3 linked regions of the Drosophila melanogaster genome follow. The protein of the gene in region 3 interacts with the protein of the main gene of each other region in a pairwise test. Each region holds a gene or a part of one and is shown on either strand. Other genes may lie near its edges. The genes, in order: CG11134, mus101 and CG30089.

What was found.
Region 1: the proteins of CG30089 (region 3) and CG11134 interact in a two-hybrid assay, tested with the Drosophila melanogaster proteins (one large-scale study listed by BioGRID).
Region 2: the proteins of CG30089 (region 3) and mus101 interact in a two-hybrid assay, tested with the Drosophila melanogaster proteins (one large-scale study listed by BioGRID).

What each region holds. Positions count from the first base shown.
Region 1 is NC_004354.4:13,735,894-13,739,646, forward strand, and holds CG11134 (uncharacterized protein), read left to right. Parts: upstream 1-2,048; 5' UTR 2,049-2,095; intron 2,096-2,245; exon of another isoform or gene 2,246-2,280; 5' UTR 2,281-2,355; coding exon 2,356-2,483; intron 2,484-2,546; coding exon 2,547-3,017; intron 3,018-3,092; coding exon 3,093-3,177; 3' UTR 3,178-3,284; downstream 3,285-3,753. Other genes in the region: g (garnet), read right to left, coding at 49-147; Grip91 (Gamma-tubulin ring protein 91), read right to left, coding at 1,209-1,913. UniProt on the Drosophila melanogaster protein: Catalyzes the dehydration of methylthioribulose-1-phosphate (MTRu-1-P) into 2,3-diketo-5-methylthiopentyl-1-phosphate (DK-MTP-1-P).
Region 2 is NC_004354.4:13,720,431-13,724,183, forward strand, and holds the start of mus101 (mutagen-sensitive 101), read left to right. Parts: upstream 1-1,815; 5' UTR 1,816-1,923; coding exon 1,924-3,753. Other genes in the region: Mrgn1 (mahogunin ring finger 1), read right to left, coding at 1-1,246.
Region 3 is NT_033778.4:15,725,347-15,729,099, forward strand, and holds the start of CG30089 (uncharacterized protein), read left to right. Parts: upstream 1-2,034; 5' UTR 2,035-2,580; intron 2,581-3,753.

The sequences.
Region 1 (3,753 bases), on a different chromosome or scaffold from region 3:
GGAGGACAGCTGTTTTGGTGGGCGGTGGAGGCGGGGCTGCACGCTTACCTCATTATCCTTGTTGTTCCTAATGCCGCGCACCAAATCGGTGAGGTTTTTATCAAACATACGCTCGAAAAAGTTACCCTTCACTTTTTTCAGTGCCATGTTTGCAGTTGCTGTTGTTTTTGTTTTTCTTTTTGCTGCACTCCGTGGCGTTACTTTGATTTGCAATCGGTGTCTCGATTGGGAAATTGGGCTATTTTGGCGAAGCGATTTCAGCACATCACCGGCGGCAGCACAAAGCACTCACTTCCGTCTTTTTCCGATTTGTTTTCGTTTTTTTTTTAACTTTAATACGCTCGCAAACTAGAGGTGGTACGCAAATTTGTGTTTAATCGATACTATCGATGTTTGCTGCACGTTGGTGGTTGGCTACGCTGAATAGTAGGTGGCTGCACTCGCTAGCGGTGAAATGTTAACCGCTTCGTGGACTGTCGATAACTCGCTGCGCATTCGATTACAAAACCGTTTTGAGATCAGAAAGTTTGAGTGAGAGTGAGAAGGAAATAATATAAATAACTGAATATTTCGGCTTTCTTTTTATACGCATTTACAATAATTGAATAAATAACTATTACACTCTTATAACCCAAATTTTTGTAATTTATAATAATTAAATAGAGACGGAAACTTTCAATGCAAGTTGCGTTTATTTCGAGCTCGCATTACGGTTTAAAACTGTTCAAAACATTAACTTTTTTAAAACATTCTTTTAAAGTACGTAACATTCTCTTATTCTCTTTAATTACAACATGGCAATTGGCAAATGCACTTACGAAAATCTATTTCAACTAAGCTTCGATGTAAAAAAAATTATGGGATTCGCAAACAAAATAGAACGTTGCGTTTTTCGACAAACAAATTGTCGCTTAATACTTTCGTTACAACTACTCAATAATTTTGTATTGGAGATATCTTAAGTTGATGGCTTGCAGCCAGGCGATTGACGGCAAAGCTTGAGATATATATGTATAGAGGTTGTTTTCGATTCGAAGGCTTAGTTAATAATTGGATTAGTTTGTTTGGTTGGATTGGCTCCAATGATATCGAGATATCTCAAATATTTAGCAGCAATTGAACTGAATGGAGTGCTGATGCTGTATGGGATTTGGGATTTGGTATGATGTATGGACACTGGGATAAACCGATTGCATGGACATTGGTCGCTATTCCTGAGTGGACGGCGTACATATCACGAAGCGACTGTTCACGGCGAACACATTGCTCATGCGCATGTGCTCGAAGGTCAGGGGTTTGCTCAAATTGGTGTCCCTCTTCTTGTAGTACTCGTTGAAGTCCAGCCGAGTGCCAAAGAGCTGCAAATTCGGATCGTCGCTAGAGTTGAGAGACATTAGGAAAGTGCTGACAGCCTTTTCGTAATCGGTTGCTATGACTTCTAAGCCGCGGCAGGCGATGTCCATCTTTTCGGCAAATATCTTCGCCTCCTGGTCGCGCTGCAGGATCATCTTGTTGGTCAGTCCGTAGACACCCTTCTTTTCCGATTTCTCCACAATTTTGGACAGTTCCTTGCGGGCATTTAGCTCCTTAAAGCAGTCCTTGTAAAAGCTCGACTGCCACTTCTCCAATTCGATAATGTTCTCGTACACCACCTCCAGCGAATGCTCCACACTCGCTTTGTTGCTGACAAAACAGCCCACCAAAATCGTTTGCAGAAACTTCTCGTGAGCTTCCAGGATTTCGTCCAACGTAGTAGCCTTCTGCATCTTCTTCTGTAGCTCCACCCAGTTGCACTCGATGACCTCAAATAGCACATAGTACTGCATTTGGTGGATAAAGTGCATGATCTCGGAAGTGAAAAGGTTGAGGCGGTGTGACGCCTTGCCGATTTCGGACTTCATTGTACGAAGGGCCTGAAAAGATGTTTAATAAACAATATAATTCCAAAGGTGAGCCACATAAAAACAAAAAAGTTTATAATAAGACTTACAGAATAGGACTACTCAAGAAAATTGAAAAAAGTTCAAATGTAGCAAGCTTATTATATTTATACTTGTAAAAAACGTTTTCAACAGCGCTATGAAACATTTTTGAGGTAATACGGTGATAATAATATCTTGTTCTCTTAATGAACTATTGCACATTATTCAATTTTCAAAAAACCATTTCTAATTGGACAATGTTTATCGTAACGGCAACGCTGTGTGTTAACAGCGATACACCGATTGCAATCGTCTATCGACGGCAGCATTGTTTACATTCGTGATTTGTCGCTTTCAGAATCCCTTTATCTCCCGTTATCAGTGTCGCACGGCGACGAAGATTACGTCCCACGAAAGTCACATTGTCAGCGAGATGGCCCTCTCGATCTTCAAAGACTTGCCGGCGGAGCATCCTCGCCACTTGATTCCCTCGCTATGCAGGCAATTCTATCATTTGGGATGGGTGACCGGCACAGGAGGTGGCATGAGCATTAAGTACAAGTGAGTACAAGTGATACTATACATCTATCCAGACAGCCATATAAGCCGGTTAATCCGTTTCAGCGATGAGATCTACATAGCACCGTCGGGCGTCCAGAAGGAGCGAATGCAGCCGGAGGATCTCTTCGTGCAGGATATAACCGGCAAGGATCTGCAACTGCCGCCTGAGATCAAGGGCCTGAAGAAGAGCCAATGTACGCCGCTCTTTATGCTGGCCTATCAGCATCGGCAGGCGGGAGCCGTCATCCACACCCATTCGCAGCACGCCGTAATGGCCACGCTCCTGTGGCCAGGGAAAACCTTCCGCTGCACCCACTTGGAGATGATCAAGGGCGTCTACGATGAGGCGGACAAGCGATATTTGCGCTACGACGAGGAGCTCGTCGTACCGATCATCGAGAACACACCCTTTGAACGCGACCTGGCCGACAGTATGTACGCCGCCATGATGGAGTATCCGGGCTGCAGTGCGATCCTGGTTCGACGACACGGCGTCTACGTTTGGGGACAGAACTGGGAGAAGGCCAAAACCATGTGGGTTGCCTCACTTATTCTCAGACACCGAGCACTTTTATAGACCTAATCGTTTATCTCTCTTTTTACAACCAGGTCGGAATGCTATGACTATCTCTTCTCCATTGCCGTGGAAATGAAGAAGGCCGGAATCGATCCGGAAAAGTTCGAGAGCTCATAAGGAAGTGAAGCTGATACGAACGCACATTCTACTTGTCGTTTAACCCTATAAATTGATGCATTTACTAACTGAAATCCATTGGTCAATGCAAAATAATAGTACTGAATAATGCTTGCGTTTTATGAATCGAATCACGATATATGGCATTTGGGGGGTTAAAAATATTTTCTCAATGGGCTCGTTAGGTGACATATTTTGTCGAAATAATCTGAAGAGTCTTCAAGCCTTATCGCCGTTTTATGGGCATTTCAAACTGGGTGCGCACTTTGCACTAAATCGTGGACAACAGCTGATAACCGCTGTTACGGCTTCATGTTAGGCGTTTCATGTTAATGTTAAAGTCTAAACTCCACACCTGTAACAGTGGGCTAACAAGCGGTGAAAACCAAATGATATCGATACAGTTATTTACTTTTTCATTCTGATATCATCAAATATCAGAATTTCAATTCAGCTTAATGAAAGAAATATCGCATAAACGATATAAATAAAAGCTATATCTGATATGCAAAAGGTTTTCGTGCAGCCACTTTATTTTGAGTTCATGCCCACTGTGCATCAGCTGGCTAACATTTG
Region 2 (3,753 bases), on a different chromosome or scaffold from region 3:
CATACTGTGGCGGTCCGTTGAGTGCCTCAATTAGTGAGACTGGAATATAGCCTGGCGGAACATCCACTGGCGCCGGCTCCCCGGCCGCCGATGTGGGCGTGTTCTGGTGCAGTACATGCGTGCTAATTCCCTTCTGGACAGCACGGATCTGAAGCAACGCCCGAAACGGAGCGCGACAAATGGGACAATTGTTGGCCTGATAGCGCAGCGAATCCGCGCATGAATTGCACAAACAGAGATGGCGGCAGGGCAGGATGAGCGTATCCCTCGTCTCACTCATGCAAATAACACACTCGCTGCCATGATCGTCGATCTCCTCGTCCAGAGACGTTTTGTTCACGGCCTTGTTCTCGATGCCATAGATCTCCTGTAGCAGGTAGCACAAGCCATCCACAAAGATCTTTTGCTTCAATGCACGCAGCACATAGCTGCCGTTTTCCGGATGATGATCGATCACACAGATGGTGGTGTGCGATTGCCGACACTCGTCGCTGCCCTCCTCCACCACACAGTGAATGGCCACGGGATACTGTTCACGGCCGGGACTATAGCCCAGTTCATCCTCGGGCATCTGCTGCGGATTGAAGACATGGCTCGGCTGCGAGAAGCACTGATTGATGCCCTTCTCGTAGTGGTACGTCTCCGAGGTGAGACCCTCGCGCGGCACCAGTGTCACGCCGCTGGGACTGACATCCTCCGAGCAGAAATAGTAAATGGTAATGGCGCACTTGGCGTCCGAGTCAAAGGTAAACTCGATGTTGTAAGAGCAGGGCGGCGGTGGGGGCGTCATATCGGCATCACCGCCACCCAAACCCATCGAGCAGAGCACATTTCCATCCACATCCTCGATGGTCACGTTGGACTTCTCCTTGTCCAGATCCAAGTCCCGATCAATCTCCTTCATCTTGGGCTTCTCGAGTACACCGCCCAGCTTCTTGTCGTTCATCGTCTTGACGAAACGCACCGACTCCTTGCGAATGTTGACCAGACTCTTCAGGGTCTTCGTCGGTTCATTGGCCTGCGGCGGGGGATACGGAAAGGCTGTGGGTCGATTGCCCAGGAAATTGAGATCCGCATTCTCGCCAAACAAGTACGATTCCGGTTGGGGCGTGTCGAAGCGCTCGCCGCCCATGATGAAGTGGGTGCCAAAGAAGTTACCCATTCTCGGTGGATACTTGTAGGCATTGTTCGTGCTCGGATCGGCCTCCTCCACCGCCGCGTTCTGTCTGCTCACAAAGTTGCCCATTTGATAGGTTGGTGCTATGGAAAACTGTGACACAGATCCAATATAGCTCTTGGCCTACGTTTTCTCTTCGCTTTGGTTTAGTTTATTATTCTATTTCAGTTGGTCACCACCACACATACAATGGCATGTTGGCATTTCACTTGTTCGGCGGAAAATGGCCGCTGTGTGTGTGTGAGTGTGCGAAAGCTGTGGTCGCCTTCAAGTGTTGGATCCTGTGTCCACAAAACTAGCAATAGTACAAGTTGGTCAATGTCTTGATTATTTCTGATTTGCCTTTCCTTTCTTCTTTCTTCCTTTCTTTTAGGGCTGAGCTGCCGTCGACGACGTGGATATCGATATTTCGCTTAATGAAATATATCGATAGCTTAAACCAAAACTGATAAATAACTGCTTATTTTCGAAATATTTTATTTATTTGATAAAAAGTAAATAAAAAATCCTTACATCTTAGAGATAAATAATTAAAATTACCCATACACATTATTTTTTAATTCGCCGTCGGCGTTGCCACATAGCTCAACTCGTAGTTGCCAACTAATCACAAGCCAGCGTTGCCAACGGTTTGAAGGCAATAACAAACGGCGCCAAAATAGCGTACGCGAAAAAAAGTGCAGTGCGAAAATCACGGCAATTTTGCAGCGCATCACGGAGCAGAGAACACACTCGCAACCGCCATCATGAGCATAAGCATGAGCATGGACGAGACCATCTGCGCGTACTTCGTGAACAATCTGAAGCCGGGCGACGGTGGCGTCCAGGAGGCCGACACACTGCAGCAATTCGAGGCGGCGCGGGAGCTACTGGGCCAACAGTTGGCGGAAACGCAGATCCGGCAAATAAAGCCAAGCGAAGGATATCCCCTGATCGCAGCCGGTAACCTTACCAAGAAGGACGTCTTTGTGCTGACCCAGTTCGAGGGCGAATTCTTCGAGCAATTGCAGCAGACGCGAGCACTAATTCTGGGGCCACCGTGCCTCATCACCTGCCTGCGGCGCAATGAACCCATTCCCGAGGGCAGCAGTGCCATCTACAGCACGGCCATGCGGGATCTGCAGGTCTCGGCCACGGGCATAACACCACAGAAGAAAGAGGAATTGAGCAGGCTCATAAACTGGATGGGCGGCATATACTTTCAAAGCTTCGGGCATCGCACCACCCACCTCATTTCGAACACCATCAAGTCCAGCAAGTACGAGCAGGCAACGCTGAACGGAGTACCCGTAATGCACGTCGACTGGGTGCAGTACGTCTGGGATCAGAGTCGTCGCAGCCAGCGCGAGGGCATCATGGCCACGGATCCTGATTTCGATAAGTATCGCCTGCCCATTTTCTTTGGTGCGAATATCACGTGCAGTGGATTGGATGTGGCGCGCAAGGATCAAGTTATGCGGCTGGTCAACGATAATGGAGGCATCTATCATCGTGCCTTTCGCTCCCAGGTGGTGGACATCGTCATCACCGAGCAAACAAAAACGGACACCGAGAAGTATAAGGCAGCCATACGCTACAAGAAGGATGTCTTGCTGCCGGAATGGATCTTCGATAGCTGCAATCGCGGCTACGCTCTGCCCACAAAGGACTATGAGGTGCGGCCTGGCAAGACGTCGTCCACACCCACCAAGACCACTCGTCCGGGCGCAGCTCCCGGTGCAGATCAAACGCACCTCTCGGATCTCTCACGTATCAGCTTCGTCTCCGGCTCGCGTCGCATGTGCAGCGATCTTAGTACCGTCAACGAATCCGTCAGCAGTGTGGGCAGCAGTTCGCCCGCCAAGCAGCTGCTCAAGCAGGCGACTAGCAGTGGCCGCAACTACCAGCAGGTGCTGGCCGAGATTGAACCGCGTCAGGCGAAAAAAGCGGGCGCCTTTCTGGATGGCTGCTGTGTGTATTTGAGTGGCTTCCGCTCAGAGGAGCGTGAGAAGCTAAACAGAGTGCTGAATACGGGCGGAGCGACCCGCTACGATGAGGCCAATGAGGGCATCTCACACATCATTGTGGGCCAACTGGATGACGCCGAATACCGACAGTGGCAGCGCGATGGTCTCATGGGTTCAGTTCATGTGGTGCGCCTAGATTGGCTGCTGGAGAGCATTCGAGCTGGTCGCGTGGTCAGTGAGTTGGTGCATCGTGTGTCGATGCCACAGAATCGAGAACCAGACGTTGCCTCTCCTGCCAGCAAGCGAACACTGCGCTCCATGAACCACAGCTTCAAGCAGCCAACATTGCCCATCAAGAAGAAGCTTTTCGATCAGGAACCGGATCCCGTGCAGGAACAGGAGCACGAGGAGCCGGATCATACGCTGCTGGATCAGTACTCACAGGATCAAGGAGCAGTGGCACAACTGCCACCGGCAGATGTTAGTCTCCTTCAACCAGCGGCAAGTTCCACCCAAATGGATATACGCCAGCGAGTCTCGGTAGCCAATCCAAAACCACCCGCTGAGGGTTTGCAATTGCCGGATCTCAGTGCCAGCACTCTATCCATTGATTTCGATAAGCTGGACTAC
Region 3 (3,753 bases):
CAGCGGCATCAAAAGGAAAAACTTCTTGCCCCAAGCAGGCGAAATCGCTTAAACCGAAGATTTTTTGCCACTGCCTCTGGTGGCTGAAAAGGGGGGCGGGGATATTGGGGTTGGATCGGCGAAAGGGGATTGGAGTTGTCCTGGCGATGCGTCTGCCGGCTGCAGGCCCTACTCCCCCACCACTGCCCTTCGACCTGCGCATATGTCATAAATGGGGTCTGGGTCCTTCGGCTCACTTGCAAGGGCAGGGTTGTAAAAGCGAAATGGAAGTGGTTAAGGGCACTGCCCTATGAAGGGGTAACACCCATCTACAATATATTCCTTTCCTTTGCTAAGAAACCTATTTGATCTTATATTTAAAACATTTTTGTTTGCTGCATATGCTGATTAAAGTTCCATGATGATTTAATCAAGTCATATGGGAGATGTAAGAAAATTTCCCTTCTTTAAAGTTTGTATGTTGCACGTTGTTTTCATTAAAATATATATAATAAATAAGTTAACTGAAAGTGTGTTTTATGGACGCTTTTACCCCAAATTCCTTGTTTATTCTTTTATCGGTCTTTCCGTGGCAAGTGCGATGCAATTGTGAGGCAGTTATAGATACGGATATCTGTCTAAGCACACGTACGCGTGTGGCTGTGTGCGTGGGCGGTTGAAAGTGCGTGTGTGTGGTTGTGTGCGTGTTTTGGGGAGGCATTCGTGCGTGTTTGTTTGGCCGCCGCATACGCTTAGGTCTTTCTATTGAAATTATTTCCATCGATGTGTTTCATGTGGCGGGCGGGGGGTTAAATTGTTTTGAAGCACGCATAAATTATGGAAAATTGTTGAATATACATAATTTATGGCTGGCAATATCAGAGTAATTCAATAAAAGGTCTGGGCTAAATTATTTATGTTCCAGCTTGATCCCGATCGAGAACCTCAAAAAAGCCCATCTTTGGGGTTTTCCAGCCAAAAAGAGACATAACAAAAATCATAAATTTGTAGCTTTAGCCGGCAGTGGCAATAATTCAATTGGAAAGTCAATAATTTATTTTCTGACCAGAGTGTCGAGAGTGAAATTAAATCTAAATTTCAATTGCCTTAACTTTGGGAATAACTCATCGATTTGTTTGTTTTCGCTGTGCTCCATTGTGGTTTTACTATCCAGCCCGTTTCCCTGCCCCTTCGGTTTTGCCGTCCCGCATTTTCCTTTTTCCATATCGGATCCCGGAGGCTGCTCACGCCTGGGCCATAAAACTTTTATATCAACTTATGTACACTTACAACGGCCATTATAACGCATTAAACATAAACGCTGTTTCATGGACCTTCCCGCTACCTCCCCTCCCTTCAGCTATCTAATTGCCAATGCCGGCAACTCACACACACTTTGGGCTTCGGACTTTGGACTCTGGACTATGGACTCTGGACTCCGACGGCCATGGCCTTCGGAAAAGCTAAGGGGGCGGTAATAAATCATTGGCGATGACTGCTGCAGCAACCTCATTGAACATTAAAATAATTGCAAAGCACAACTTGGCCAATGATTGCGCCCTGCGAGTTCATTAATGATAATTAAAAAACTTTGTCCATCAGCAGCCGGCGAAAGGCGGCTGTTCATTAGATGGATGGAGGCTGTGTCAAAGCTGTGTCGGCAATCGGTTTTAGCCCGGCTTACTAGCCTAACTAACGCTTCCGGAACAGCTGGTTGCAGGCCTTTAGGCCAAATGCAATTGCATCTCCACTTCGATTGCAGAAGTCATATTTCACGGGCCCAAAAGTAGGCAACATCCAATTGGGGCCCGATTCCCACAAGTCCTTCCGCCTCCTTCTCCAGCTGCTTTCTGCCAAATGTAAACAAACATTTTCCACACACATTTCGGTTGGTAGCGGATGCGGGACGATTTTCCTGGAAGTGAAATGCACGTGCAGATTAACAGAGCGCGGAAAAGCGTGCGCAGACTCACCAAAAAATGGCAGAGAGCGCGTGTTGAGTTTTCCAAGCCCGAGCCAAGTTAGCATTGAAAAGCCATTGTTCAGTTTCCCAGCCAGTCAGTTCGTTCGCGTTTTCCGTCGCAAAAGCCTGTGCAGTGTTTTTCCGGTCTTCAACGGGACAATTCCCAAAAGTCGTAAGAAGTGAGAAATAGCTGCGGCTTCTAAAAGTGTTTGAGAACATTAAAAGAGTTTACGAGCAGCCCAAAAACTTTGGACTCGAAAGTGATTTGTGAAACACGTTAACTAAATAAAATCACTAGCATTGAATAGTGCCAAAAGATACATATCGGAGTTTTGTTTACCTCTGGCACTACGACACTGAATGGCTTTGACATTGGCGGCACATTTGCATCCGGGCAGGTGTAAATATTCATTTCTGTAGCTGGCAAAGTTGCTGCCTGCTTTTAGCATAATTAAGCGCATCACAACGCCCCCGTCGCCGCCGCCCCTGACATTCGCAAAGGACTCGAGGTGGACAAAAAAAAACTTGGCCAGAGCCTTGAAACTTTGAAGAGCAGCCGCCAGTCAAAGCAGCTTTAAGGTCCTGTTTTGTATTTGCCCCTCACAACGGTAGGATCCGAAGGGCAGGCGAACTGCATGGTAAGTGGAGAGCACCTTTCGCTGCAGCCCTTCTTTGTTTTGACCAAGTTAGCAGCTTGTTTTTAGTTCGTTAATTGAAGCCCTAGGAGAAGTAGGAAAAACTTAAATTGAATACCGCACTTAATTATGCAGTGCACGGGCCTTGGGAATTCATCTCTTCAGTGCGGATTATTGGGGCATGCCTCAGAAGTCAATCCGCAGCACTGATACTCCAGCTTTCCCTAACAAATCTCCCAACTACAAAAGTAATCTCTCTATCACAATTTCTCTGTTCCTTGCCTCGCTTCAAAATCGAAACGAAACTTGAATGGCTTAAGTGATTTAGCAACTCGATCGCATTCGTTTGCGCATTTCGATGCCAGAGCAGTGAGAAAAAATAGTACAGAATTAAAAGCAAAATTAAATTAAAGCATGAAATAATATTTTACTAAATTTAGTTTGTTTTGAGCAACCTGTCTGCTGGTTTTGTGTCAATGCAATTTTAAAATGATTGAAACATACAACGATTTGAAATACGTAATACTGTGTTTTCTGAACTATTAAGTAAACCAATCTATATGTGTTAGTGCTCTTTATTAATGTAAACTTTCATCATATAAAATAAAAGTATTAAGGCCACTTTTAAAGTTTACTTTTATTTCCTTAAATACTATTTTTCCCACAGTGCATTAACTGACACGATTTTTTCCTATATCGAATACGGGTCGGGATGCGTTGCCTACTTTCGGGCACTGGGAAAAACTTTTTAAGTGCCAAAGCAAAAGGCGCCGAATGCCGAATTAAATTAAAAATGGGAAGGCACAAGAAGTGGAATATCGGCTCGTGTGCAAATAACAGAGAAGGGAACCCGGCTTCAAATTCAATTTGAGGAGTATACTCTCCGCTTTCCCTTTCCTTTGCCACCATCCCCTCCGCTCGATCCCTAAGAACTCCTGCCCCGCCAACAATAGTTAAGCGGAAATGTAAGTCCCTGGGGGCACAGGCATCACGGAGCCTTGGAAGTGTGTCAAAGTACGTAAAGCTGAGACGAAGGAATCAATCGAATCGAATTGGATGGATTCGCAAGGAAGTGGCGGCGAAGGCGTAGCGAAAACCAAACAGCCACGGGCCATAAAAATGGGCCAAAATGAGCGGGTGAGACGTCAAAAGAAATTGAAATGGAACTCAAGCAAA